Linked DNA regions of Daphnia pulex. The protein of the gene in region 2 binds, or shares a complex with, the protein of the main gene of each other region. Links are inferred from orthologs where the notes say so. Each region holds a gene or a part of one and is shown on either strand. Other genes may lie near its edges.

Region 1 (3,752 bases), on a different chromosome or scaffold from region 2:
AGTCGTCGAGCTCGTTGATTTCCAGCTCAACGGAGAAGACGGCTTCCCAACGATATCGTACAGCTTCAATCTAATATGTTCAAAACATTAGTAGGATAAATAAAGGATTAATAATAAGACGGGACAAAACAAAGGAGGGAATCAAAATTTAATCACCAGTTGATCAACCGCCTCTCTAGTAGCCAAAGAAACTGTCCATTCGAGAAAATAATACCGGATCTGTTCCGGTTTGCTTACGATTACTTCGAAGTTTTCCTGAATAAAGAAAACAACCAAATGTAATGCAGGTGAAATAGACAAGATATTGGCCGTCATTTTACCAAAGAGACGAGATTGACAAGTTGCTGAAGGCTGAGAAGCGACCCTCTCCCCCTCCCACCCCACGTTCAAAACTGAACTTGATGGCTCGTCAGCCAACGAGGATCACCACATACTAAAACCATACGATAACTTGTGACCATCAAGGCTGTGTTGCTATAACTGGCCGTTTGCTGGTGATTTTTCTGTTGCTTACTATTGCCCCATTCGACCCGTCAGTTTACACAAAAGAGGAAGACGCGAGAATTGCTATCCGGCATGAATCGGGTACTCGTCCTCGTAGATCCTACACTACACCGTCCGTTTCACCTTCATCCGCAGATCCCGTCAAAACAGTGTCCTGATCTCCTCTGACGGAGTCCAATCAAAGCCAGCCATTGATCCGCCATGAGTACCGTCCTTAACGGCGGAACAGTAAATCCGGATTTCTCAAGAATATCTAAACCGCAGAATATTAGCTAAATAAAAGAACAACACAATAAAAATGATTTACCAGTGAGAAAGTGAGTCACGCGTTCTTGGTTCGTCTTTGATCACGAAGCAAAATGAGGTGAGACCAACTCGTTCCGAACTTCAGAACAACACCTCGGTTACCGATGACGATTAACATGTTAACTAGTTGATTAAGCGGGTAACTTGTTTCCAAACTGAGCCACTTTTCTGGCTGCTCACTGTTAATAGAAGCGAGTCGCATGATTTTATCCACAACCACCTCGACTTCCTTCTTCCGAAGTGTCGGAAGCCTCCTTACCGCTGATGGTGGGTGAAGACGGTTCATTGGATGCTACGATGACGTCACTGCCCGGAAGATTACTCGAGGATGGAGTTGATTCAGACCCAGACACGTCATTATTAGGAACTACAACTGGGCTTTGCTGCTGCTGCTGTTTACGACCTATTAACAAGGCATCAAATAAAACTGTTTGATCTAACACAAGAGAACTGCGTTACCTTTCAAAAGAGGAGAATAAACTGTAGAACATCGCAGCTGGATAGCCGCTCCAATCAAAGGGAATTTTCGGTCGCATTTCATGCAGCTCATATCGTCTCTCAATAATCGATCCTCTCTCTCCGGATTGGCAACTTTTGACGATGACCCAGAGCAGCTAGCGAAAATCTTTTCCAGCTCCTAGAACAAAGGAAAATTAGTAACAAGATTTGACATTTCAACACGTAAATGATAATAAGACATTAAAATCGTCTTGTTCCTTGCGTCGCTACTATTGCGAATTGATTATAGCACAGTTAAAAATCTTGAGAAAGATATGAAGAAAAATATTGTGAGGTTACACACCACTGGTATCACACTGAATGTTTTTTCTTTCGTGTGAATGGTCAAATGTTTTCAGACAGTTTAAGTATTTGTGCGGACATTACGGACGGGCCAGTTTTTCATCAGTGATCTCGTATGTTGACGTAAGTTGGATCGGTCGTAAAAACGTCACATTTAAAGGGCTTCACTCCCTGATGTTGCCAGGATGACGTGAAGTCGCAAATAATCACTGCCTAAAAATGTTTTCACACATGTATCACAATTCACAGGTGCTAGCTTGGTCCCATAGTACATATTCATATGTCATACCAAAACATTCTTGTGATGAAAAGACTTTCAAGCATCTTTACATCCATATTTTCTTTGGTGTGTTGTGTCACTAAGCTCAGGATATTCCTGTAAAGAAAATATAATTATTAATGCTAAACCGTTTAGCATTAATAATTGTGACATTTTATCAAAATTATAACCTTATTGAATGCTTCCAAGTTAAAATCATCATCTCCATTCTCATCTCCGTTGGAGCTCCCTTCAGGGTTATCTTCTGCTGCTTCCTCACTCTCCCTTTTTATGTCATCAAAATTTTCTCTCACCTCAAAGATTGCAGGAGGCTCATTATCATTTTTTACAGCTTGTTTTATCATCTACAATGAAATTGGGATCACTTTTTCTTGCCTGTTTAAAATACACATCAAAATTAAGTCACACCATATCCGAGTCCATCTGCAGTGTCACTTCTTTAAGCACCTGTCTTGCGATATGGACCAGGCTTCCAATCTTTGTTCCAATCTATAAGGTTTTGAATGCAATTTGAGATTTAGTATATCAATACATAATTATATATTCTTCTACCCTAAAAAGAGGAAAGGCTGCTCAAAAAAAAGGAAAAAAAAAGTGTCTTTGATCTTGGCCTTGCTTTTGTTTACAGCTGTCGTCTGCTAAAGCGGCGGTTAAGCACTTGAAGATGACAGTCGTAACGATGGCAACCAAACGCGATGATTACACCAGATAACACGTAGATCATGTTTTGATTGTTTTTTAATTAAAGAACTCGAGGAAGGGAGTTCGCCTTGCACCTTCGTAGAGACCTGACGTGCATTCTCTTCTCTCTCTCAAAGTGCCAGCAGACTCACGTACTCACCGTATATACGCCCCCCGCTTTATTCCGACAGACAAACACGCGCGACCCCCCCCCCCCCCCCCACAGGCCCCCGTGTCAAAGCAATTTCCGCGCCAGGTGCCACCAACAAAATGGCCGACCGTGATGCCCCACCGCGTTCGAAAAGACCGTGCAACTCAACAGACCACCCCCTCCCTGTGATAATCAAACTCATGGATGACCGTCCAAACTTCAAATCAATGTCCTTAGCAGAACGTGAGGCCATGCGAAAAGCCATTTGCACAGCCATTGGGGACCCCCGGGACTCCACGGTACTCCCAGGCGGCGACCTATCCGTCAGCCCTACTGACTTGCAACAACAACAAGTACTACTCAACATCAAGACCCTGGCAGGCAGACCAACATCTAGCACTCTGCCCACCCGGTCAACAGCGAGGAAGGTAGGAGTAATTTTTGGTATCCCGATAAGTGACGCGGAGGAGGAGATTCTGGAAGCTCTAGCAGACCAGCACGTGACACATGTCAAACGGCTCCCGATCCGCAACTCACCAGGCTCCCCCTCGACAACAGTATCACTTACCTTCTTGAAAGAGGTCCCAGACAGGATCAAGATAGCGTCAATCAGCTACCCAGTAAAGGTATCGGTACCAAACCCATACAGATGCAGGAACTGTTGGAGACTCGGCCACACCGCCAACAGGTGCAACGCTAATGGCCCTAACTGCAAAAGATGTGGCAAACAACAACACGAGACACACCAAGAATGCTCAAGAAGGTGTATTAACTGCAACAACGGAGATCATGAAGCAGACAGCGATCAATGCCCTGCATACCAACAAATGAAGAGCATTATTAAAATGGCCTACCTGGAGGAAATCACCATACAAGAAGCTCGATCCCGCCACGCAAATCTGTACAGCTCAGTAACCAATCGAACCCCCACCCCAACCAACCGCCCCGCACCGCCGCCAACCCCAAGGAATGACCTGACAACCCTACAGGACCAAATAAAGGCCATCCAACAAGAGATGTATACCATGA
Region 2 (3,752 bases):
ATCTCGTGTATGGAGAAACAAAATTAGTTGATACATTTGTCACGATGCCAGAATGAGCCGATTCGGCGAAGATTAGAGCTTGTGGGAACTCTTTTACAGTGACGCGGACTCCAAACTCCTCGGATCTTGACGCCATTGATTCGATCGTTTGCGGATTCAGCAGAGTGGGTAGGTCGTCTCGGATGTCCTGAGAATGTGTCAAGTCGTGCATACAATAAAGGGGGTCTTCGGTGTCTTGATCCAATGGAGTCGGCATCATTTTCGGGATGGCTAATGGCTGGCCGTGATGTTGTAGAGTGGCGAGAGGCATTTCTCTGGCTTTTAATATGATTCCATGGAGATGAAGTAAATGCTGACGAACGAGCGAAGGGATAGGTGAACAACAGGCAAGGATACCTTGCATCTCCTTAGGTAGAACATCGGCGATTTGTAACAACATGTGTTTGGGTAGAACAAAACCAGTGCTCTCGTCTTCTTCTCGAGCTATTCGATCGCGCCAAGCAAACAGTTCTTTTAATGCAAACAGCTGACGTTCGTTGAAAATCTTCTTGCTGAGCCTATACAATTCCAAGTGACTTTCGGCAGTGATAGGGGGAATTCTGTAACGTTTGAGACAAACCAGTCGGCTGTTTTGCCAAACTGCTGTCAGCAAATTATCTCCTGTTCCCTTCATCTTCAAATCCTTTTTCATCTTTTCGTAAATGTATCCTAGGTAGTGGGTATCTTCTCGAGCATAATTGACCATTTGCTCAGGCAAGGGACGAATTCGCCAATCGGCTAGCTGGTATTGTTTGTCAGCAATAACTTGGCAATAATGACGAAGGAGGAAGGACAAGGACAGCTGTGCAAAACCCAATAATTTGGCAGCGTGATAAGTGTCAAAAAGATTAACGACGTAGATACCGAAATCGCGCTGAAGCCACTGAATATCCATATCAGCTCCATGAAAAATCTAAACGAAAACCAACAAAATAAGTTTGTTACTTCTTCAATTAAACAGTTAGCTCATACCTTAACAATCTTTGGGTTGCAGAAAACTTCATTTAAAGGCTGTAGTTGATCCCATAGCTCTAAAGTGTCTATAATGTAGTCAGAACTGCTTGTTGAAATTTGCATTAAGCATGTTAGGCCTTGAAAGGATCTATATGAATGGGCCTGGCAATAAATAATTAAGGAACTTAATAAGGTTCACCAATTTAAAAACTGCTAGACAGTGAATAATACCTCCAGATCTACAGCAATCACAGTTTCCTCAAGCAAAACTTTCAAAAGACTTTTTAAACCTTCTTCAGTATCTATCATTACCAAAGGGATTTCTTGAACACTTGGGAATGGAGGCACTTCATCAAGTACGGTGAAGAACTTTGGATCCGGTGTAAAACGTTCCAATTCAAATTCGTACGGATGGCTAAACTCTTCATCGCCCAAGTCATTCAATTCTAATAGTATCGCCAGTGGTTTCAACGAATGAGGCTTATCTTTGATTTTGGGGATAAACGGTCCAGGTGAATTCTTGATTTTCTCTTTGAATTTCAACTGTGGTCTCAGAATGTTTTTAGCAGAAAGAAGTTTGTAAGAGGTTGCTGGTGAACTCTGTAAACAAGATGAATACTTTATAGATTCAGCATCTAAGACAACAATTGGTATGAAAAACTAGATACCACAGAATGCCGATTCCAACTGCCATTAATATTTGTAGTTTTTGCCATCATCTCAACAACTACAGTTTCTGCTTGTTTTTTTAATCCAGCAGCTTCATCTAGAGAAAGATTCTGAAACGAAAGCAGTTTTTTTTAACAGGTGTAAAATTCTAATAATTCCTAGTAGCATACTATTCGCTCCATCAAGATGTCATTGTTGTCCGACACCAGCTCCATCTGCTCTTCCAAATCCAATTTTCCCACCTTTCCTGTTAGTCCATAGTGTCCGTAAATTGTGGTCATCCTTGACAAATAAAAATTTTAGGATCAAACAAAATTCTTATACTTAACGGTAGCTGTAACTCACAAGTTAGTAATGCGACCACCAAATTCTTTCATTGCGCTGGCATATGCTGGATAACTTTGGTAGTAATCCCAGTCTGAACCACTACTTGGTAATTCATTAGAGTACTTTGTGACCTTCATTGCACTTTGAAATAATTTCTAAATAAACAGAGAAAATCAAGTTGTGACTGATATGAAATTTCAAAATGTTTGGCCAGCCAATGCTCTACCTGTTGAACCTCTTGGGCATTTCCATTCTTCTCACTTTCTTTTTCACTCATTTTAAAAATATTCTCTGATCATCAATTGCAACAAAATCTTATTGCGATTATTCACAGAAAACATTAAGCACGTGAATCGCCTTGTTTCAGTCTCGCCGTTGACCAAAGAATCATGCTTTCAGAATCCACTTGTCGTCTGCTACATTATGCATGTAATACACCGTTAGTTAAACAGTTGATTTATTTATTATTAAACTTAAAAAGGATCTATATTACTTAATTAATTGAATATCTATGAACAAGTAAAATATTTAGTAAATTTAGAATATTTTTCAACCCACGACTAAATATTTTTTATTCATTTGAAAATGCTATTGCGCTTTAAAATTCTGCCAAGGGCGTTATAAAAGTTCCCCGAAAATAACAAATCAACAAGTGCCTTGACCATCATTCTTTTCCATAAAATAATAACAATTTTAATCCCGCCGTAAAAATGTTTGCACTAGTTGTTTATTAACTTGGACTTTCGTTATTGAGTACTTATAAAGGTTCACTGTGTCATCCAAACTTGTCGTTTTTGCGAAGGTAACTAATATATGACAGACGCTTGAAACGATCGAAAGATTTTCTTATATTGCTTTCTTTTTCAGCACATAACAATGCACGCTGTTGTCGTTGTGACTGGAGGGATTTTGACTTCCGTATTCATTGCTGCTCTCCTTGCGCTATTGTTTATATGCAGATATAAACTATGTTGCTTTAATCTTGGTTCTAAATTTAAGAAGAAGGAACAAAGCCCACAAGTGCAGCAGAATGGATTCCATGTGAGGTAACTATCTCAAAAACGAACAAAGACTTCTTTCGCAGTTGGGAGTAATTTTGCTTTTGAATTTCCCAGTAGGTCTGATATTCATCTAATCAGTAGCCTAGAGATGGAAGATGAAGACTACATCATGGACAATATTGATCCTGAAGATTTAGTGATTCACCCTGACTTGGACAAAGTTCTAGAATCTCACAGATGGAAATGGGTGGACGATGCCCTTGGAATTGTTCCTCATTGCCTTCAGATTTTAAAAGGCTGTCACTTGATGAGTGAAAGGCTTGTGACTACAGCTATGGCTTCTACAGATCAACAGAGATTTGTTGAATTGGCAATGGTACAACTCTCATTATCTAAAAGAAAAATAATTGCATGCATTTCTGTTATGTTGGAATTCAGTTGTGACACTCCAAAGATTACTATGTGTCTGAAAGTTCTGTTGTGTTTTAGGTTGCAAAATCTGTCCTTCCATTAGTTGACGACGTCTTGCGTTCCATGTGCCCACCCATTCAACCACGCGATGTCGAAATCCGAGCCTTTGCCCTCTTGAATGCTGTCAACCGCTTGAGCAAACTCACCGAGCGAACATGCAATGTGTCGTGGCCATCAGCTATTTTCGAAGAGATGAATATGCATTACCAGGTAACGTGCATCTTTTAAATGCTACACGACTTGTTTGCTTGGAAACGCGAACTGGCTCTGAATGTTCTCGATACTATCTGC

The links. Proteins that work in one complex are often made in the same cells at the same time.
Region 1: exosome component 10-like (region 2) and exosome complex component RRP40-like share a complex: the UniProt entries of both Drosophila melanogaster proteins name them as parts of the RNA exosome complex. The link is inferred for Daphnia pulex from reciprocal best matches to the Drosophila melanogaster genes Rrp6 and Rrp40.

The regions. Positions count from the first base shown.
Region 1 is NC_060019.1:5,895,610-5,899,361, forward strand, and holds the start of exosome complex component RRP40-like, read right to left. Parts: upstream 2,530-3,752; 5' UTR 2,444-2,529; intron 2,443-2,443; exon of another isoform or gene 2,381-2,442; 5' UTR 2,300-2,380; exon of another isoform or gene 2,062-2,299; intron 1,988-2,061; exon of another isoform or gene 1,901-1,987; intron 1-1,900. UniProt on the Drosophila melanogaster protein: Non-catalytic component of the RNA exosome complex which has 3'->5' exoribonuclease activity and participates in a multitude of cellular RNA processing and degradation events.
Region 2 is NC_060022.1:1,682,739-1,686,490, forward strand, and holds the start of exosome component 10-like, read right to left. Parts: upstream 2,450-3,752; 5' UTR 2,267-2,449; coding exon 2,216-2,266; intron 2,145-2,215; coding exon 2,008-2,144; intron 1,945-2,007; coding exon 1,833-1,944; intron 1,773-1,832; coding exon 1,662-1,772; intron 1,594-1,661; coding exon 1,225-1,593; intron 1,156-1,224; coding exon 1,012-1,155; intron 953-1,011; coding exon 1-952. Other genes in the region: transmembrane protein 98-like, read left to right, coding at 2,866-3,035, 3,105-3,366, 3,480-3,671. UniProt on the Drosophila melanogaster protein: Catalytic component of the RNA exosome complex which has 3'->5' exoribonuclease activity and participates in a multitude of cellular RNA processing and degradation events.